3 linked regions of the Drosophila melanogaster genome follow. The protein of the gene in region 2 purifies or fractionates together with the protein of the main gene of each other region. This does not show direct contact. Each region holds a gene or a part of one and is shown on either strand. Other genes may lie near its edges.

Evidence for each region. Proteins that work in one complex are often made in the same cells at the same time.
Region 1: the proteins of atl (region 2) and ND-13B purify together in Drosophila melanogaster (affinity purification with mass spectrometry, with the first as the bait; one large-scale study listed by BioGRID). This does not show direct contact.
Region 3: the proteins of atl (region 2) and ND-20L purify together in Drosophila melanogaster (affinity purification with mass spectrometry, with the first as the bait; one large-scale study listed by BioGRID). This does not show direct contact.

The regions. Positions count from the first base shown.
Region 1 is NT_037436.4:10,691,037-10,697,801, forward strand, and holds ND-13B (NADH dehydrogenase (ubiquinone) 13 kDa B subunit), read right to left. Parts: upstream 3,073-6,765; 5' UTR 2,982-3,072; coding exon 2,961-2,981; intron 2,832-2,960; coding exon 2,670-2,831; intron 2,471-2,669; coding exon 2,279-2,470; 3' UTR 2,148-2,278; downstream 1-2,147. Other genes in the region: CG11811 (uncharacterized protein), read left to right, coding at 140-841; CG33493 (uncharacterized protein), read right to left, coding at 1,779-2,087; NijA (ninjurin A), read right to left, coding at 3,499-3,690, 3,988-4,379, 4,593-4,668, 5,531-5,608.
Region 2 is NT_033777.3:24,623,968-24,632,504, reverse strand, and holds the start of atl (atlastin), read right to left. Parts: upstream 6,835-8,537; 5' UTR 6,693-6,834; intron 5,440-6,692; exon of another isoform or gene 5,130-5,439; coding exon of another isoform or gene 3,843-5,129; intron 3,790-3,842; coding exon of another isoform or gene 3,433-3,789; intron 3,371-3,432; coding exon of another isoform or gene 2,639-3,370; exon of another isoform or gene 2,430-2,638; intron 2,215-2,429; exon of another isoform or gene 1,755-2,214; intron 723-1,754; 5' UTR 609-722; coding exon 414-608; intron 349-413; coding exon 1-348. Other genes in the region: wsck, read left to right, coding at 2,639-3,370, 3,433-3,789, 3,843-5,129; Syx18 (syntaxin 18), read left to right, coding at 7,032-8,030, 8,350-8,537. UniProt on the Drosophila melanogaster protein: Membrane-anchored GTPase that mediates the GTP-dependent fusion of endoplasmic reticulum (ER) membranes, maintaining the continuous ER network. It facilitates the formation of three-way junctions where ER tubules intersect.
Region 3 is NT_033777.3:29,511,880-29,518,674, forward strand, and holds ND-20L (NADH dehydrogenase (ubiquinone) 20 kDa subunit-like), read left to right. Parts: upstream 1-3,837; 5' UTR 3,838-3,906; intron 3,907-3,933; exon of another isoform or gene 3,934-3,964; 5' UTR 3,965-3,965; coding exon 3,966-4,604; 3' UTR 4,605-4,648; downstream 4,649-6,795.

The DNA.
Region 1 (6,765 bases), on a different chromosome or scaffold from region 2:
CGCTGGCGCACACACACATGCACAAGCACGCCCACTTCTCTTAATTTAGCCAAAGCCAAATAGCAAAAAGAACTAAACCAGCTTTTTTGGCCCCCATTTGTGTTGTTGGTGCTGTTCTGTGCGAATAAAAGGCCACGCGATGATAAGCTTTCTGTTCATTGTAAATCGGGCGCTCAGCAGCAGCAGCAGCAGTAGCAGTGCAGCGGCATCCTTAACGAGCAAGAAGATGACCGCCCCCGGGCCACGCCCCCTTGTCCTATGCGGTCCCTCGGGATCCGGAAAGAGTACGCTGCTGAAAAGGCTATTCGCCGAATTCCCCAGCACCTTTGGCTTCAGCATATCGCACACCACGCGGAAGCCGCGTGAGGGCGAGGAGCATGGCGTGCACTACTATTTTGTGGAACGTCCGGAAATGGAGGCAGCCATCGCTGGCGACGAGTTCATCGAGACGGCCGAGTTTACGGGCAATCTTTATGGAACGAGCAAGGCGGCGGTTAGAGAGATCCAGGCACAGGGACGGGTCTGCATACTGGACATCGAACAGAAGGGAGTGGAGCAGATCAAGCGTACGGATCTCAATCCCATACTGATATTCAACAATCCACCGAGCATCAAGGAGCTGGAGCGACGACTTCGCAAACGTGGCTCCGAAACGGAGGAGTCGCTGAGCAAGCGCCTCAATGCCGCTCAGGTGGAGCTCGATTATGGTTTGACGCCCGGCAACTTCCACAAGATCATCAATAACGTGGACATCGATGTGGCCTACGAGGAATTCCGCAACTTTGTCGTCCAGGAACTCAAGGAGCAGCAGAAGCAGGGAGTATCAGTTAACTTGAATTAAGGCGAAGCATTTTGCGGACGAATGTAGAATGATATTAACCTCAATGGGGTGGGGGTAGAAATTGTTTGTGAACTGATCGACGACAGGAAAAGTAAATTATAGAAAACTTATCATTGGAAACGGCAGGAAGCTATAGGAAAACCAGGTACTCTTTATGCATATTGTAAAGAATTTAGCTTATAAGAGAAACTTAAAAACTTTCCGAAGATACAGAATATCAAACTTCATATTTTAACTAATAGTTTTCTTAAATAAAATAGAAATAATACTCTCCATTCAATAATCGCATATATAAGAGCAATATCAAGATTTTAGTTTTATGTAGAAGCAGACTATTTTTGAATTCTAGGACAAACTTTGCTTATATTGTGAAAAATACTTTGTCAGCAGCAGAATATTGTTAGTAAACAATTGCTTAGCCAGCGAACTTGACCCAATGTTTCCAATGAAAGTAGACCATAGATTACTTTTCGTGACCCCGATGCCTGGAGCCCCCACCCTGCAAACCACTTTGACTAATGGCATTTATACTTAAGAAATGGCTTGTATTTATTATATACTCTCCTCCTGTCCACCTCATCATTGTTGTGCAAATTCGTTGTTCTAGTTGTAATTTTAAGCTGAAATTTGTTGCGCGCCGCTTCACGGTCGAGAAAACCGGAGAGGGCGATTAAAATGGAATCAATAAAGCGAACATTATGCGGGTATATTGTATTTTCACAAACGTTCTATATATATTTCCAACAAAGCCAAGCCCGAGAAGGTCAAAATGTTATCTATCGTCAGTGGGATTGTTTATACAGTGGCCGTCTGTCTCCTCACGCAATCGCTCGATTTTGTCCCCGGCCGCCCGCCTGCTGATGTCTGGAATTCTCACGGCTCTATTTGTCGAATGTAATACGCACGCCCACGCGAAAGTCCTGCTCCGAACCTTGGATTACGAGGGATACGCATTGGTCTTATAGTCATGGTGTAGATGCAGTTTGGCCTGGTATCTGGTGCTGCCCGTACCCGATTGTGTTCCATGTGTTCGATGCACCAGGCTGGCAGAGCCATCGATCTTCGTCCGACTGTCCGCACTGCTCCATAGCCCGGCGATGGCCTCCAGAGCCAGTTCCGTCTCCTCATCGTTGTCGTCGTGCTCCGCCGAAACCGTGAGATCGATCTGACGACGCTGGCGAGGCACCGATGCCGCCAAGCCGATGGAGATGACGAGCAGTAGCAGAAGGTACTGAAGCGCACGCATGTTGAAAACGAACTGAGATCGTCAGTGGATCGATTGCTTGAATGTGGCTGATCTTGTGGTGCTGTTCCAGGTTTATTCATTTGATTAAAGCTCAATTATTTTTTAGCTGATAAAGCCACTGGCTTATCAACGGATTTATTGCTCTCTTCTCATTTCGATTTGCTGTAGATTAATTAGTACTAAGTGTGAATCTAAACCTTGGGCTCCATGATCTGGGCTGGTGGCCAGTCCCACTGCTTGGCAGGCGCGGCTTGGACCAACTTCTCCCAGGGCTTCCAGCCGAGCATTTTGCGCGCAAGGATCAGCTCGTTCTCGGCCTGGACAATTAGCTCCTCCACTTGACCGCAACCGACGGCCTTTTCCAGGGCAGTGATGTCCTTGTGCTGCGGGTGAGAAAGTTAGAGATTGTATTAAAAAAAAGGAAATTGGAGGATGATCAAGAAAATAACAGTCTTTAATACAAATAACAAGTGTAAGGATCTGTATCTTGGTTGCACGGTCTATATAGGTGCTACATATGCTTTGATGAAGGTACCATCCACTTGGTAAACCCAAATTAGCAAAGTTTCCAAATAATCTTACTTGGGCCACAGAATCGGCGCGCTGCTTGACCAGTTGCTCCGTGTACTTGCGGTAGCTGGCGTCCTGTGGCATCTTGGACACCGCCCGCAGAATCTTGCCATACAGAGCACTCAGCGTGTGGTGTGGATTGGTGGACACGGCGAGTCCAGTCAAACCTGTGGACTGCAGAAGGAAGCGATGACATAACAATAACAATTGAAGAAACGCCGCGAAACTCAAGCGGGGATTAGTCGGTCATTTCTCTTTTGTAGGTTCTCGAGCAGGTGCTTCACTTGAGTTCCTTGAACTTACCGCCTTAATGATCTTGGCCATGTTTGCAATAGACTTTTAGCCGAAAATGCTTAATTTTCCGCACGACTTTATTTTGTAACAGCTGTTGCCCAGTGCTGTGAAGTGTCGAGGCTATAACACAGTGCTGTGAAATGCCACTACGTAAACTATCGCAACTAAACGATAGTTTGGCGCCAAAAATTGATTTAAATAGTATAAATAGAATTGCATTTGAGTTATTAGAATTTAATATTAATAACAAAGAATATCCAAAGAACAACTGGTTTATAAGTATTTAATATTAATGTGAACGTATCTTATAACATTTAAGAAAGTTTATTCATTTCTTACTTAAAACGCCCAAAAGTAAGAAAAACAGCATTTCAGTTATTTAAATAAGCGAGAAATGCTCGTGGGATTTTATTTATCACAATTCATTGTTGCGTTTAGAAAAATGAGTCGCTGAGTGAAATTTAACAAGGTTTGAACAATGTGAGTATTATCTAAAGATGCATCTGTGTGTTCATAATACTAAAGTCTATTTAAAATACAAGTTAAACTATGTTGTATTGGCGGGTAAAGCAGGCACAGTATCTCTGTCCACAGTAAAGGCTGATATTAGAACATTGACCACAGTGACTATAAAAATGCCGCTAACTGTATAATTATTGATCCTGTTCGCCCGGCAGATATCGTGACCGTTTTTGATGTTATACTGGCCATTCAATATAAGGCCCACGCCCACAGCAATCTGAAATGACAAAGAAATTATGAGTGTGTGTCATCAAAAATATGGTTATTAAGCAAAACAGTGAAATCTGGTTAAGATAAACTACTTTGTTTTTATACTACAATAAATGGGCTAAAACCTTTGATTACTTTGTATATATTTGTTTTTAATGAATTTTCTTATCATCTTAAGAATATTCTGATAGTTTAGAAATGTAAGTTATACATGTGTGGAATTTACTTATCAAATCTTGCGTTCATTGGATATTTAAGCTTGATTTTACAAATATATGCATTATTTGCACCTATAGAAATTTACCTGGAATATAATGCTGAGTGAGATGAACAGCAGACTGGGATAAAAGTAAGGATGTTGTGAGCTCGTCTCCAGAACATAACGCAATTGATTTGCATTCGCGGAGAGAAGTGCCAGGTCCATCATTCCCTGAGCCAGGGTCTTCTTGTGCTGATATGCATTCACATCGGGTATGGGTGTCTCCACGCCGTTGATCGTCACAAAACCGGGTCCATTGTATCCCGGAAAGGAGAAACTGGGTCGTCTTCCTCCATTGGGAACGTTTACATTCACATTGCCGCCGTTGCCTCCGTTGCCTCCAACAGTTGAAAAAAGACCGTCATCCACGCCGGGATTATCATTGCCATCTTTAACAAAGGGACGATCGTCGTTGTCATCATCATCGGTTTCGGGAACTACAAATGAAGCAAATTATTAAGTCACTTAAAATCGATTACCACCAGCTTAAGCTACTTACACCATCAATTGTGATTTACCCAAATAGTTTAAAGAGCGCGGTTTTAAGCAGCATTAGTCACAAGCACAATTAAAAAACATAGACAAGCACAGAAAAATGTTCTAACTTTTTGTTTCTTTTTGAAGATAAACGAATAAGTTGGCATACGAACCTGCTCTGGGCACTCGAAGAGTATTACGTGTCCGTCCGTCGATTGCACCGCCATAGCTGTGTTTGCTGATATTTTCCTGTAAAATTTCAATAAAATCATTTCCGGAATATTAACAACTTTGCTTGCAAATCCATTGTTGTCTCAAAATGCAAATTCATTTAGCCAAACGGCGCACAGCTTCTGTTCTGTGCAAGTTTTGATTAATGCAATTATATGCTAAGTAGTTTTTATCTGTAGGATTATGTACTTGCAATATGTTTTACAACTGTTCAGTAACTTCGAACACAAAAAAAACGATAAGCTTCAGGGACACAAATGCTTTGAAAATTGCGACAAACGTGATTTTTTTCATAAATAAAATAGTATTTCAAACGATAAGAAAGTAGTAATATTAAGTAACTGGGCTAAATTCTATGATCATGCTCTATTTGCAAGAAAATGTTGCAATTGAAAAATATTTTTTAAGTCTGCCAGTTGCTATGAGTCACAGAAATAGATTTTCCCTGCAGCAAAACGACAGATTTATGAGATTTCTCTTTTATTTAGCTAAAAAATTAGACAAATGATACATACAGCAAACATTAAGCTACTCTAGCTATGATTGTTTGCTTAAAAACTTAGTAAAAATACTCATAGTTCAGCAATTTAATATGAATTTTTAAAATCGTATATCTTAAAAAATGCAGAACTATGAATTTATTTCTAAAATTAAGTGACGGGTTTTTTCCGCCTGAGCTATTAATTTTCACGAAAAATTGTATGAAATTCTCCGCAGTTTACACAAAAATTAACAAGCAGTGCGAAACTATATACATATATAAGTTTTTTGTACAGGTAAATAGACATTTTAACGATCTATCCGTAAAGTAAATAAATCACCGGTTTTTTTAAATTTGTTTACCTTCCCCCAGTTTAATGATAATGAAACTTTAACTCACTGTATTTCTCACCAAAGTTTTATTATCTCCTAGTGGCACTTTATCCATTTCCAGCGTAATATGCTCTAGGTTACTCATTTTACGATTGAATTAATTAATTAATTAATTGCAATTAATATGTCTTTGGGCAATTACAAATGAGCAATTCAATGCCAAGATTCCTTAAGAATTTCTTTGTATCTCTTTATCTAGACCTTCTCGGGCAAATCACTCTGTTGCTTATTTATTATTTTGTTTTTTTTTTGGCTTTTGTTTAAAAACTCGTGCGCAATTTGCGACCGCTCGGCACGCTATTTCTCGGACAACTGACCAGAGAAACCATTGATATTGCGAATATTCTCTCGGCTCCACTTGTTTGGCCGGTTGTTTCTCCAAACAAATCAGCCATTGGGGATTTCACGTTCTCATTCTACAGAGTTACAACAAGTTTTTTGTTGATGTAATATGAAGATATACTGGGAACACAATGGGAGTTGATATATGTACACAGAAAAGATGCAGAATGTTTTTTAATTTGATATGGTTTATACATTCAAATAACAAAAATTGGGTTTTATTATTTAAAAGTTTATAATTTTAGTAAATGGTAAAGTGGTGTATACAGTTTTGCTAAAAATCGATATAAATATTTGATTAATATTTATTTAAATTTTAATCATATTAAAATTATCAAATAAAACATAAATTATAAGAAGATATACCATATATATAATAAAAAATATTTATAAATTTGTAGTATTTTTCGAACTGTATGAACAAGGTGTTTGAAGCTTAAGCCTCTCCATCTCTTTTTCTCCTTCAGCTTTCTCTCTCTCTCTCTGTCTAATGTAATATGCCCCTCTCTTTCTGCTAGTGAATTATTTCCGCAGTCTAGCACGCTAAGTTCCTCGTTCGCATTAAAATGCATTCGGCTCAGAATTAATGCGTATACGTCATTGCACTCAGCGCGATAACCCAGAGCACTAATATATGTTTATAGTATATAGTATATACATACATAGACTAGATGGGCTGCTCTTTTTTTTTTTGCTACCGTTTTGAAAAACGCGAGTTCTTGGAAAATGCCCAAATGTGCTAGCAGACAAATGTCACGGGGAATATTTACGTTTCCCTCGATTCAAATTAGTCATCAAGTGAGAGAAGGCATATCAATGAGGACTTTCACAACTGAAGAACAATCGCAATCAAGTTTTTTTTTTGGCCTTATCAAGCATAAGAAAAAAATTGAGAATAAG
Region 2 (8,537 bases):
TTTGCCGGTGTCGGCCAGCGCGAGGCGACCATACTCAGTGAAGAGCTGCAGGTGCTGCAGGTCGTCCTCCTGGATGTTCTGTGACAGGTTGTATATCTGCACCGAGGACAGCATTGTGCTCAACGCAAAAACGGTGGCACAATCGCGCACCGTGCTCTGGCTGTCGAAGGCGCCCTGTGTGTCCAGCAGAATGATGGCTATCTTGTCGCCGTTGGGATAGTCGTGCAGGAATATGTCGGACCACATGAGAATGCCGGTGGTGTCGCGCTCAGATCCGCCGCGCCAGGAGAAACCCTCCAGCGGATCTGATTCGCCTCCCAGCCAGTCTGTCGCATCGTGATGCACATACTAAAATGTTCAAAAGAGTGTGGTAAATGGAAGATGCTTGCAGTGGCAGCAATTTCAAGACTCACCTTTGAATACATATAGCGCAGAAAAAAGTCCAGCAGGAAGCTCTTGCCCTTTCGGAAGGCTCCAGCCACGGAGACAACGCAGACGAACCGATCCTTGACCTCATCCCGCATTAGGACCTCACTCAGCGCATCCTCGTTGAGCACAAATGTGTGCTCCTCGGAGGCGTTGATCACCTGCACTGCCGATCCGCCCATTATGGTGTTTGGAATCCTTGTCTGCTATTCCGTTTGCTGTCTCTGTTTTACCGGCTATTTTTGCCTCCGTTGGGAAATTCTTTCTTATTAATCTTTTGGATTTCGACCTGTCAACTGCAAGCATAAACAGACAGCTAGATAAGTATGGAGAAAATGTCTGCTCTGTTTTTCAGCGATTTTTCCATTTCCGGCAAAGGGAAAATTTGCGAGTCTAGGCCAACATTTAATTGCGCAAGCCTCTGCGCCGTGAGTTCATTTAAATTTGGCACAGCCACGAGACACGAGCGACGGACAGAAAGGCCTGCAATTATGAGAGGTGGCCAAAAATAAACCCAAACATGCGCTGCTCCCCGATCGCAGAAGATGTCAACGTCAACCGAAGGGGCAGTGGGGCACTATGTAAGCGGATTGTTCAGGTGCGTGGGATATATGTACATATGTATGTATGTACCAATCTATCCGAGGAATGGTACTTGGTAGATGTGTAATCAATCAGTAATCAATGTTTAGATACAACCTTACCATTCAATTAGCATATGGCAATCTGGTTTTCAAACTATAGTTGTTGCTTATAAAATCAACTGTTTTTAGGAACAAACTAAACAGATTCGGCTGAAGACACAAGTATACAATTTAAAGGCATATGGTTTTGATTGTCACTTTAGAAACTACGGCTACTAAATGATAAGAAAACCGGTTTATTACTACTACTACTGACTAAACTTTCAACATTAAAACAGATTTCACGGTGTATTTTACAGCCCATATGGAGAAAACATATTCAATTATTTCAGATACTCAAAATAACTTGGAAAGAAATTCATCGGAAACCGGTCTTTCGGTGATTTTATTGACCTTATTAAAGTTCTTGATTGATGTGTTGTTTTTTTGCAACACGATCACTTATTCATTTGTTCCTTTTGGGTTTTATCACACCAAATGGCGAATGTGTACTCAAAGGGTTTCCAAATCGGGTTAAACGAATTCAGCACAGTTGACTGTTCGTATGTAAGCCGTAGGAAGGGAACACATTAAAATTAATTTCGTTAGCTGCGTTGTGATGACGTCGACAACTTTTGTCGCGCTACGCAGTTTGACCACTTGAATTCTAATTAGAAACGCAGCCAAAACAAGTGAAGAACATACCACATTAAGACAAGAGATCGGTGGGGAATTATGCCACACTCCCGATTATACAGGCCACATAAAAGTTATGCTTGCGTCTAATTGAGTCCGATTCGGATGCGGAATGGGAATATGAATATAAATACACGACCAGCGCGACCGTCAACCAAATCAAACTGCAAGCACAACACGCAAGTCACCAATGAATCGGCTACCTCAAAAAGAGAGCGAAGCGGTACTCTCTCTTTTCCGATCAACTCTCATTTGCCGTCGCCACATGGCAAAATAGGAATAGACACCGTGGTGGAAGGGAGGTGGGTAATGCAATTGGTCCGGCGGCAGCTGCAACGTTAGCAAAATCGCGTCTGTCCAATTAACACATTGCCACTTAATTAAGACCAACTGTTGTCCGAGACTTTGGCGCGCTGAATGGGAATTTAAAATTCAAAATAACAATCACATCTGGCAATGCCGTTTGGAACCAGGCTTGTCCAGCAGGTGTGTGAGCGGTGCCGCCAGATACGGACGATCTTCGCAACACACCAGTTGTCCCACTTACACTTGCAGCTTTTGCAACTAGCGGGCGATGTAAACAAAGGTGTTGGAGAGTAACAGCAACAGTTGTGCGGCCTGCGTCGACGTCGGCAGAGCGATTAGTCAACTGGAAATGGAAACACGGTTGCCGAGAGCAACAACAACGGCAGTGGAAGAAGAAGCAGCAGCAGAAGCGCTTGGAAAATGTTGAGCGGGGAAAAAGAATAAAAGTTTTTAATTTGCCTAAATTGGCTGCCCGTGAAAAGTGTTTAATTGGCAGTCCTAGCCCCCAAAGAAGCAACAGAAAGCCCAGGCGGATATCAGTCATCCGGCGTGCAGGAGCTTAGCTGCTCATTCGAGATTTGCAAGCCATGGAATGCGGTTCACACAGCGGACACCGCCCAATTCCGATTTGGCTTTCGAGCTGCCTCGTGGCCATGTGCTTGGGCCTTCCGCTAGGAGCAGCTGTCCCCCAGGAAGCACCTGCCTACTACTACGTTGGTTGCTACACGGCACGAACGGATCTTCTCCATGAATCGGTGTACGCCAAGACACCGCAGACCTGCATCGAGATCTGCGAGCATCAGGGTCACCACTATGCCGTGCTGGCCTCCGAGAAGTGCTTCTGTGCAAATGTCCTGGAGCCGCAGGAGCAACAGGATGAACAGCTCTGCAACACTCGCTGCCTGGCCAACAAAGCGCAGTATTGTGGCGGAGTTGGTGTGCACTCGTACTACTCCACCATACTGACCAAACAACCGGGTCCGCATCATCTAAGAATCTCGAACAAAACGGAGAACAGCCTGACCCTTAGCTGGAATGCGTACGAGGCGAGGAAACTACTCCTGGCCGGCGGCGCGGAGGCAGTGCTTCCCAACCAGCTACTGGACAACTTCCTGATCAAAGCTCAGGTCCTGAAGACCTACTCCTCGTTGCCCGCCTTCCCGCAGCCTGAGTTTATGGTGCAGAGCACGGAAACGCAGTTTGAACTCACAGACTTGCATCCCGCCACGCTGTACAACATATCCGTGAGAGCCATGTGCAAGGATGCCCAAGTAGGTCAATCTGAATGCGGACAGGCCTCGATAGAAGCCACCACGGAGGTTGGTAATGCTTGAATTCTAACGAGAATCCTAACCAATAACATTACTACTCCAAATTTCAGGTGGGCCTTCCAAGTCCCGTGCCAGCACAGCCGAAAATCCTCAGCCGGACTGACCGCACTGTAACCATCGAGTTGTCGCCCATTCGGAATGACAATGGACCGCTGAGCAAACTGCTCGTCATCGTGGAATACGTGGACAACGCCCTGAGTCAGCCATTCGATGCCCAGCTCCTGGGCAGCTGGCAGCAGGCTCAACAAGATGGAGTGCCCTACTACATAGCCGCCGAATTGGACTACGATCGACCGGAGGACAATCGCACCCGGCGCTTTGTGGTCGGCGATGGCAAGCGTTACGGACGATTTACCAATAAGCCGTTGGATCAACCAGATGCACATGTCCACATCAGTCTCGGATTGGTGAGTAATGCATTAAATTCGAATGAATATCTCTGTAACTATTTATATTCTAGGTGAGCACACTGGAGGGCGTTACCAAGACGATGTACAGTCGTGGAACTCACGACCAGCATGTGACATCCCTAGACGACTTTAGTTACGCCACCTTTGAGAAGGGTCAATCCTCGGTGGTTGCCCTAGCTGTCACCTGTGTGATCTTCGGCTCCTGCCTCCTGCTCAGTCTTATTGCCTACTTCTATCTGCGCTACAAGACCTGCCGCGGGCGACGATTGACTGGTGGCAATACGCACGAGATGACGCTGCAAACGCCCATAATCGAGCGGGAAAATAACGGATACCTTGTGGAGGACGATCCACTGCCACACTCGCCGGAAAACTTCAAGCAGCAGTTGCAACAGTTGGTGGAAGGATACGAACGGATACCAAGGAATGCACTACGACTAAATGTGAACGATGTGATCGGAGACGGACGCTTTGGTGAGATTATAACCGGAAAGGTTTCCACAAACGATTTTGCCAGAGATTGCACCCTGCACGTGCTCTGTCTGGACGATCTGAATGGTACTACACAGGCACAGTTGCTGAGAGAACTACGTCAGTTGTCTCAATTGAAGCGCCAGGAGCATTTGCTAGATTTCTATGGAGTATCAGCAAGTCCCGATTGGTTCTACCTAATCTTCGAGCAGCAACGCATGAGTCTAAAGAGAAAACTGGTGGAGAGTCGCCTGATGGCACCGTCGCCACGCTTGACTTCCCTCTCTGAGCAGCTAGTGCTGCAGTGGATCTACGAGCTTGCCAGTGCCATGAATTATCTATCCAGCTGCCAGGTGGTGCATCGACAGCTCTGCTCGCACAGCGTCTTCGTTACCAGCGATTTCAAGCTAAAACTGAGCGTCTTTGGACCGCTGCCCTACATGAACATTGCTCGCCAGCAGCCAGACCACAACCGGTGGCTGGCCCCGGAGGTGCTGCGCCATCAGCATCACCATTCCACCCGTTCTGATGTCTGGTCCCTGGCCTGCGTGGCGTGGGAATGCTGTGCCCTTGGCGGTACTCCCTATGCCAATGCAGTGGCAAGTAACCAACAGCTTCTAGAGGCCATTCGGGCTGCAGTGCGTCCGGCGCAGCCAGCCTACGTCTACGGGGATCTCTACCAGCTGCTGCTCAACTGCTGGCAGCTGGAGCCGAGCGAGCGGAGCAGCTGTGAGGACGTGGCCTTCGGAGTACGTCAGCTGATGACCTCACCGCGTCATGCCCTCAGCTTTGATCGAGTGGCCGGCGGACTAGACACCCTGCCTCCGTACCTGCCGCAACTGGAAGCCGTTGCTACGATGGGCTGAGGTGCAGCCGAATAGTATAATTAGCTTTAGTCAGCGAGAGACCACATTCGCATAGAGTAGATTTCGGTTCTGAGTCACTGCTGCTAAGAGAAAACATCACTTCATTTCGATTTTAGATGAGTTCACTTTCAGTGTTCTGAAGAGAAAATAATTTGTTTTAGAATTTACACATTGATTTAATAAAGCTCATAAATTGTTATTATCCATATAATATTAGAAGTGAGCATTTATGAAACACAATTCGATGTTTATTGTTAATACGCACAAACTTCCTACAAATAAAAGAGTGTTCTATGCCAGAGCTTATCAGATCTATAAGGTAGTTAATTGCTTATCTACAACCCGAAAGAAAGGAATCGACTTTCCCCCACGCGAAACAAAGTTCAAGCGAACGTGCTCGATGGAGAGCGCGATAGATAAAAGACTACTGACAGTCTGGCCCCCAAAATTGTGTAATAAATTGAGGGATCCATAGCGAATGGATCTACCAACAGACCAGCGACTGTGATTCCCCCGCCGATCGCTGATGTTGCACAAACCAGACAAAAGCGAAAACTAAAAGCAAAAAAAAAACCAAGGGAGAGAGCCGCGAATGCGAAACTTTGATCGCTGGCGAGCAGCAATTAATAATAGAAAATAAACGGCGGTGTTGCTTAAGTGTGAGTGGATCAAAATTGACGATTAATCAGTTTAAAGGTCTTGCATTGCATCTATTGTTTGTTATGTTGTTTAAGAATTAATTAGGGAAATTGTTGGCAGCAGCCTAGATGCGGTTACATGCATTATTAGTCATCCGAAATAGTAGGGCACTTTATGTATGTATATTCCATTGGTTTGGACAATCATCTTATAATGAAGCTACATAGCAAAAAAAAAAAAAAAATCTAAATCTGTGTATATTCTTCCGATATGCACTTTTCAAATGAAATGTTCAAAATTCGTTATCAGTACTTAAAATTTCTCACTATGTACAAGCTTATCTCGGGATCCTTCCCAAAGAAGATAAGCCATTGTTTCTCTTGTCGACGTGTAACTATTGGATCCACCAAAAAACCCAAAGCACATGGCTCACCCGGAATTTAGAGCGACTTTCTTATAGAGTATATGGTAAATACGGTAAATGAAGCGCAACGATATCCATAGCGACTTTTGGACGCTTACCTTGCCCGCAATTCAAGGTGAAATGACGACGAACAATTGAAGTCACTGAAATGTGTATACATTCCGAGCAAATGGGCAATTATTATTAATAAATCGAGCTGAATGGCTGCTATCGGAATTCAGGGGCTTCGACTGCCGACCATGCTCATGAATATGTGGAAGATGATGATGATGATGAGGTTCATCCGGTATTGGCCAACTTTGCGAGTGTTTTGCATTCGCCTGGTTAAATTGTTATTGTTTTTGTTACATATACACACATGGAGATTATGAGGAATCCAAGGAAACTGGTTGCTCACACACGCACACCAACGCACTGCGACGGAGCCACTCACGCACACTACCAAATGGTCGGCTAACTGCGCAAATAATGCGGCTTCTGTGTCGGCCTTTGTTACTCACTTTACTTAACCATTTACATCGGACACTGGACTTCACTGCGCTGCGATTTTTCGACACTTTGGAAGCAGAAAAGTACGTATTTTGTTTGTGCTCTGCCAATGGTGTGACCGTACACCGTTGGGCGAAAAATCACCTATAAGTGTGGGGGTGAAAATTCATTAGCCAACACTGAAATGCTTATCGATAACATTTAGCTATTTTTAGTATTAGCTAACTGGTATATATTAACGGTCATCATAAGGTCACACTGCAAACGGTTAAACGAACGGCCACATTGTGTTGGACCGATGATGTGGATTTAAAAGTTAAATATTTCAAACTTAGTTATAGCAAATAGCTATGGACATCACCCAGAGCTTCAAGGCCAGCGTAATGACGGTGCGCCTGCAGCGCAAGGCCGAGCTGGCCGGAAAGGCCAAGCCCGCCACAGTGCCGACAAAAACTGGACCAATTGGCCCAAAGGATGACTTCGCCAAGCAGGCCAAGGAGGTGTGCAACAAGATCACTTCGCTGCGCAATGTGCTGATCGAGAACCGCACCGCCTACATGCGCATTGGCCAGCACCTCAAGTCCGCCGCACACATGACCGACGCGCAGCGGGATCTGATTGATCGCGAGTCGGAGAAGTTCGTCACCTTTTACACGCAGCACCTGGCCAAGATGCGCAGCGATTGGAAGAGCGCCAAGCGGAAGCCGCAGGAGCGTCAGCACATCGACGCCGTGCTGGACCTGCTGGTCAGCTATTTGCACAGCGTGGAACAGATCTATCTGGACCAAAAGAAGTACCGTGTGCAACACGAACTGGAAACCTATAGGCTGCTCAAGCTGGCGGCGGACAAAAAGAAGATACCAGTGCGTCCGGCGGGCAGCAACAGTGGCAAGCTGGGCAGGCGCCAGGTCAGCAACGATGACAGCGAAGCCACGAAGTCATCTTCACAAGCAAATGGCAACCACGACGAGTCCGCCGACAATGACTGGAATAACGACGCCTGGGGCGACTGGGATGAAGACGAGGAAGGCGACGAGGTGGACGATCACGATGGCGAGAAGGGCAAGGAAGCCAATCAGGCCAATCAACACAAACCGCGTACGCGCAAACGAAGCAAAGCCAACAGATCGGATCTGAACAACTCATCCTCCAAGATGGCTCTGGATGAGGAGCTCCAGCAGCAGCAGGAGGCCGACGATGACGATCCCCTAAGCGCCGAGGATGTGCAGCTCTTCGAGGCGGAGAACGTACACATCTACAACTTTCTGCAGGGCGTCTCCGAGGAGGTGGAGCAGATCGAAAAGAACGTGGTAGACATTGCCCAACTGCAGGACATTTTCACCGAAAAGGTAAGATGGCATGATAACACAAGTCCCAAGGAATCCTTGCTGTTCTTAACAACGATATCTTTAGTTTAATTTTGGTGAGAACATATTGCTCCATATTGCCAAGAATACTTAGTGGGTTTAAGTGGCTGCCCATATGTTTGTCGACTTAATCCTTCAATTAAAAATATTAATTGGCTTCGCTAAAATCCACATCCTTCGCGATTACAATGGATGTATAAGCCGGGCTCTTATTAGCATGCAATTAATTATTAACTAGATCCAGATAGATCCACGTCCTAATCTCATTTAATCCTCTTAAATTTCCCTTTCCCTTTTGTAGGTCGCCATGCAACAGCACAATATCGACAGGATAGTTAGTGCCGTCGTGGGCACCACGGAAAACGTCAAGGACGCCAACGAGCAAATCCGGCAGGCCACTCAACGAAATGCAGGACTACGCGTGTGGTCGCTGTTCTTCCTGCTGGTCATGTCGTTCTCCCTGCTCTTCTTGGACTGGTACTACGATTA
Region 3 (6,795 bases), 4.9 Mb from region 2:
AGTCCACATTCCCATTAGGTGAAAGTAAAAGGAGTTGATATATTACTAACAAACATTTGCATTATGCCAATAATAATGAATCAAACAAAACCACAAGTAAACATGTTTTGGATAACCACTAATGGTAAATAGTTTCCCACTTCTTATTTCACTGCTTTCCCACTTAGGCAGCAACCACTGTAGCTGTGATCGAATTATTCGCAAATTAAGCAGAAACAGCAGACGCTTGCCACGCCCCCAAGTCGCCAAAAACAAAGGGGCGGTGCTGCTATGGTCGAACTCATCTGAACTCGAGCGAAAAGTCGACGACGGATGAAGCTTTTGTTCCCGTTGACTTGATGCCGCGGCGTTTGTCAGGCGATTAGATAACATTTGCCATTAATTGCCGGCAATTAATTATGGAGCTCCGCTTTAAAGTAGTTATTATAATACCGAACTGTCAACACCTACTTGTGATGGCCGAGAGGAGCTAATGGCCCTCCCCCTCCCTTCAGATGCTCCAATCTCCTTCCTTGCCAGCGATGGCATTTCAGTTGCTTTCTAGCTAAATGGCATAATAACCACAAAACCCATTTAACCTTCATGAAGTGTTGTGTATATCACACGAATATATTAATCATTCATTATATATTGTTTTCAGCGCTTTTTAAAGTACTTCGAAGCATCTTCTCAGATGTATGTATCTTTAATGTGAATGGTGAGTATTTTTGGCTGAAATATCTTACTTACTTAATTTTCCCAGAACTGTTAGCTACTATTTTGGAGTTTTTCCCCAAGCCAGCATCATCACCACCACTGCACCCCCCCCACATTCCTCATTTGGGTGGTCGGCCACTCGGACTCGGGGAGTTGGAAACTCGTTTGTCCCGCTTCACGTGGATGGGATGTGTAAATGTATGTTAATTTGGCGATCGTTAAATACGAAAATTTGTTGGCTTTATTGTCAGCTGAGACCGGGCTCTTTGTCTTTTGCATCTTTAATTGGTTGGCTGGTTAAGCCATATGGTCTCGATCTGATTTGTTAGCGTTAAAACCTGTGGTAGCTTTGCGTTGGCTTCTTGTGTGGGGCTCTTAAATTAGCGTTAATCGGCCGGACATAAAGGCTTAATTGCGGCTTATCGCTGGCTACAGCAAGTTGATAACAAGGAAATGCCGTAATAAAGAAATTAAAATGGCTGAATACACGGGGAGAATGTTTCTACTTCTTGTTGCACAACATTGTTGCAGCTAAAGCATCAGCAAACACTTGGGATATGTTTTTCGGATTCCCCAACCCCATTTTTCAAAAAAAAACATTGGCACAATTGGAATTTAATGGAGTCAATTTGGTGCCTGGTGATGCATAAACTGGCCAAAAGCAGTGGATTGGTGTGAGCACTCTCTTGAATGCAAAGAGCTTCCAATGGAAATGGAATGCTGCAGATGCTGCACTGCACTGGCAAAAATAAAGGAATGCCTATCTATTATTTGTAGCTCCAGCTGGCTACGATTCTTGGTGTGCAACTGCAAAGCCTCTGCTTATATTTCTCTCAGTGTACTGGCCAAGTTGCTCCTGCTGGCCGCTAACAATGCAGATCAAGAGATGAGCGCGTCCATTTCGGTCTGCGGATCGCCATTGTTCCGCTTGGCATGTTGTTGTTTTAGGAGCTCGCTAAAAAGACAAATGTGGTGTGCGGATGCGGATGTGGATGCGGGGGAGTTGCTCCTGACTTAGTAAGGCTCTCCAGTTCGAGCTAGTAAGCCAGCCAGCCAGCCAGCGCGTGTTAGTTCCACTCGTTAAGGATTTACGAGCAATTTTTATCACTTTGAGGATCGCTGACAAATCCGGCAACAACAATGCAATGCAACATGCGCATAATAATGGCAAGTTGTCCGGCATACAGCGTGTATATAAATACATATATATATATGTGCTGGTTGGGATATATGCCATGGCTATGTGCTATGAGCCATGAGACAGGAAGCGCACTCGGCTGTCTCATCGTTGTCGCTGATGTGGCCAAAAGTGGCCAATAAAACCCCAGCGACGATGTCACCGGGCAGCAACAATTGCAGTTGCTGTTGCAGTTGCAGCAGCGATGACGACGAATTATAGCAAAGTAATCGCAGTGGACTCTCCAGTTGCCAGTGCATCCTTTGTCCACCTGGATCATACCCTTTCAAGGAGTAGGATATGCCAAAGCCAACTCTGAACTACCATTTATATATAAGTATTACAATCATATCATATCATGCCATAAATCAATTTATACTCTATACTAATCAAGTACGAGGTCAATTTATATATTTATTACATTTATCTATCCACATTGAAAGCTATAGAGTATTCTGAGTTTCCCAACTTTATTTTCCTTTCCACCTTACTTATTTATTTCGCATCTTTCCCCCTTATTTTTTTTTTGTACATTTTCCTTGGCCAATATCGTTGGCGGCTTTTGGCGTTGATTTCCCTTCCAATTTATGTGACATATTGATTTTAAATTGATGATAGTCTATTTTGCGTTGGCCAGCCAACGGAGGAGCGAACAAAGCCGAACGAAACCAATTTATTTTAGCCATTTTAAATTGGCATTTTCGCCGGGTACGCAGCAGCGTTCGCTGCATTTGGCCAATGCGTTCGGGCCAGGCTCATATGACTTCATCAGCGGTTTATTGTCGACGGAGACGAGCTGGCTGGATAGCTTATGGTCTTCTGGGCGTCTGAGCTTCTGGCCTTCTGCTTTTCTGGCTGGGAAAATGGCAGCATACTGGCCTGCCTGCTCCATTCATAGGTGCGCATTTAAATGCAAATTTAATTCAATTAATGATGCATCAAATGCAGCCAATGCCTAATTGCCATGCGATGATCGTCGTCGTCCATGTCCCGCGTATTTATTTTCATTTCATTTCGTTTTATTTCATTTACTTTTTCTATTGCCCATCCTGCAGGATTCGCAGCAGAAGCCGCAGCTGCCGCTTGACAATATGGATGATTTAGTAGTCGCTGCCGTTTGGTTGTCGTGTCTGAGGCACCATAGGCGTAATTAGACAAGCATTGTGCAAAAGCGTTAATTAAAAACCACAGAGACACACAGCCAGTTGCCATTTTTCCACCGACTATTGACTGCCAGCTGCGCCAGCGCCACGACTTCAATCTCACACTAGGAGATACATTTGCAGCAGCCACAAAACTGTAGAAGTTCACTGCTCATTTGCTCTAAAAACTATAAGATACATTTCGGAAAAAATGTAACTATATTGAACAGTTTATGAAAAGTTACTACAAGATACAGTTTAAAACTGGTCAGCTTCATTTTACAGACTTTGCTTTAGAATCTACCCTTTAAAGTGCACAGTTTTTTTTTAATATGATTTACTTACAATTTCTTTCATTTAATGTAGAATGTATTCCTTTGCCAAAAGATCTTTTTTTTGCAAGTGCAGCTCCGCGGTGTCGATTCCGTAATGAGCCAGCGCATCGATTGCGTAAGTTCTCCGCGGATGCATCTGCTCCCAGTTTCCAGGGCCCATTCCCATTCCCATCTCTCGAGTTGCATGTCCCCAGGTCCTCGAGTCCCATTAGTGCACCCGTGCAGCGGGGATGTGGATGGTGATGGCGCTGCAGCAATCAGCTAATAATTTCCTCCTAAGCGATCTGTACTCAAGCATCCATGGCGCATGAATGGGAGCTCCATGCTCATGCGTATTTATGAGCTTCATGGATTCCTGTTCGCTGTCCGCCCAGCGTTGAGTGCCTGGGATTTCGGATTGATTTTGACGCCAATCGGTGGCGTCAGGGGAATCCAAATGGGATTTACAAGAGCTTATATACATTGTAGAAGCCAAAGTGTTAAAAATGTTACATAGCTCAGCCTCAGAAAAAGTTGTCAAACCTTCAATATAGCTAGCAATATCTAAAAGTTCAAAGTAAGTTTTCACATTTTCCATGCATTGCTACATCGCAAAATAAATTAAGTATCTTCAGGATGATAAGTTTCCTGAAATTGGCCAGGAATCCTGGCCAGCTGCTGCTGCCTGGCAGTGGAGTGCTGCAATCCCAGTGGCTTCGTGGCCAGAAGACCATGCCGGTGTACGATTACCGTTGCCAAAATCCGCCAAAGTGGGGCTACTCGGCCTTCGGACGCAACCAGAAGACCTGGGGCGAGTGGACCTGTGCCAGGTTGGATGACCTGCTAAACTGGGGACGCAAGGGATCCCTCTGGCCGCTGACCTTTGGTCTCGCCTGCTGCGCCGTCGAAATGATGCACATTGCGGCTCCTCGCTACGACATGGATCGCTACGGTGTGGTGTTCCGAGCATCTCCTCGCCAGGCGGACGTGCTCATCGTGGCCGGAACCCTGACCAACAAGATGGCACCGGCCTTTCGGAAGATCTACGACCAGATGCCCGAGCCGAGATGGGTCATTTCCATGGGCAGTTGCGCCAATGGTGGCGGCTACTACCACTACTCCTACTCGGTGGTTCGCGGCTGCGATCGCATTGTTCCGGTGGACATCTACGTGCCCGGATGTCCGCCCACCGCCGAGGCCTTAATGTACGGAATCCTGCAGCTGCAGAAGAAGGTAAAGCGCATGAGGACCCTGCAGATGTGGTACAGGAAGTAGAGAATATTCTTGTAAGGAGTTCAGTAAATAAATGATACCTTGTTAAGTAAAGTGTTTTTGGGGTGGTGCAACCGATAAGTAGAGTTGGGCTTAAATCGATCCTAACCTAATCCGATCTCTGCCTTACCCAAAACGAAGTCAAAGAGTTAAGCGCATCAGTTCCAGCAACTACACAAGATTCCTGGCTCAGAAAGTCGCTTAGTCAGCGGAATAGGGCTCGTGCTCACCTGCAAGGATCGGTTTCATGTCCCGCAAAGGACCTCTTGAAGCGAGTCCTGCAGACAATGCGCGGAGACAATAAACACTTCTGACGGCACTGTCTCTCAAGTGGCGATGAAATATGAAGGGTTCTTGAGGCATATGAAAGGATTTCGTTGTTTCACATTTTTTCGAGCCAGCCCGAAAATCCTTTTTGCGAATCTGGCGACACCGAGCACTTGAACTTGGTGGGAACATCATTAAATCCCCGTTCGAGTGCGGTGAGTGCATTAAATTGTGGGACAACTATCGCATTAGTGTAATCCATGTGCGACACACCCACAAAACTGGCAGATCCTCGGCTTGAATGGAAACTCTCGAGAGTGAAGGACTTGAATGAATGAGTATCTCCTCTCATTCAACGAGCGGCGAGAAAAGGACCTGCACACTCTGAAAATCTGGACAAAGGCGCAGCAGGCAGCCCGCTGATCTTCGGGGATCCTGGGAATCCTCTCGTGACTCGCACAATTCCTGCGAATAAGAATGACTGCGTGGGGAAATTAACTTGTCTCAATCGCACAGCAATAAAAATTAATAACAAAGCCACTGGCAACTTGTTCGCCTCCATTGTGCAGGCATTAAATAAATTTAACAGCTCAATGACTTGTCGAAAGGTGCTGGGAGAATCCAGGGGCTCCAGGGGCTCCTGGGTTGCTGCAGAATCGAAATCAGTGGACCGTTCGCAGCCAGGCGAGCATATCTTAATTAGCAGACCCCGGCCCACATTAACCTTAATTTTGCTCTGTTTTATTTTACCGATTTCTGCTTAATTGCGGCGCCGAGGCGCCAACGAAAAAGCTTCGCAAGTGCACAGGCAAAATGTTGTTAACAACTTGCTTGGAAAGTGAGCTCAGTTAATCAGTAAGAATATTCAAGAGAAACTCATTGATTTAAGTTGCTGCGTATATCTACATTAGTTTCAGATTTTTTTTTTCGATTTTTTTCAGTGCACTTGCAGCGACTTTTCGCTGGGATTTCCAGTGGAGTGTCCAGCGACGCATGCTCAGGATTTGCACTTGAGTGAAAAGCTGGTAATCTGGAGACGGGGCCACGACCACCGTGGTGGGTGCTACCTGCATATCCACAGCTCGCCAGCGATTGCAGCCCCTTTGCTGGGCAAAATGAGTGGGTTCGGCCAATGTTCCACGGGCAATAAATTACGTCAGAGGCAGATCGGGCAGAAATGCCCAACGAATTGTGTGTGTTTAACACCTAATCGCCCGTTATGCTCGCCATCCGATTGTGAGGTCCTCCAAAAAGTGTTCAAAAACAAAAAAAAATAAGGAGACTGACTCGCCGCCAAAATGGGTGCAACAATAGCGATTCAGAAAGCAGCATCTAGTGTTCATTCATTCATTCATTCATTCAATCGTTCAGTGCCCCAGTGTGGCACTCATTCATTCATGCCTCATAATGAAATTGTTGGATGCGTCTTCTTCGGTTCTTTCCCATTTTATTTGAGCATTGTGAGCTGGCGGAGATTTATGTTCATGAATGTAAATGCCTTCTTCAAATCTTTTTTATTGGCATTATGCGGAATTGATTTGTTGCCTCGTTGGGCTCTTTCATAAAATTATTATCACACCTTGGGAATTCGAGACCAGACCTGAATCTGATCTGATCTCCTTTCTTTTGGGCAGAGTTATTAAGCTGATTTTAATTGCGTTCCGTGCGTTTGGCTGCTTTGATCGGGTCTCGTAAATCTAATTTAGTGTTCTTCGAAATTTAGACGTTTCCTAATTATGCAACGAACAAATGCCAAAGATCTTCTTCTTCTGAGTGGGGCGATGTTTTGTGCCTTGTTTTCGATCGGATTTGATTGAAATTTATCGCCAGTGCATTGACTACAGATCCGAAATCTTGCGCTAGGGCGTTGTCCAATATGGCTTACATAAATATCTTGGCCCTGACCAATCTTGGCCCAAAGTTATGG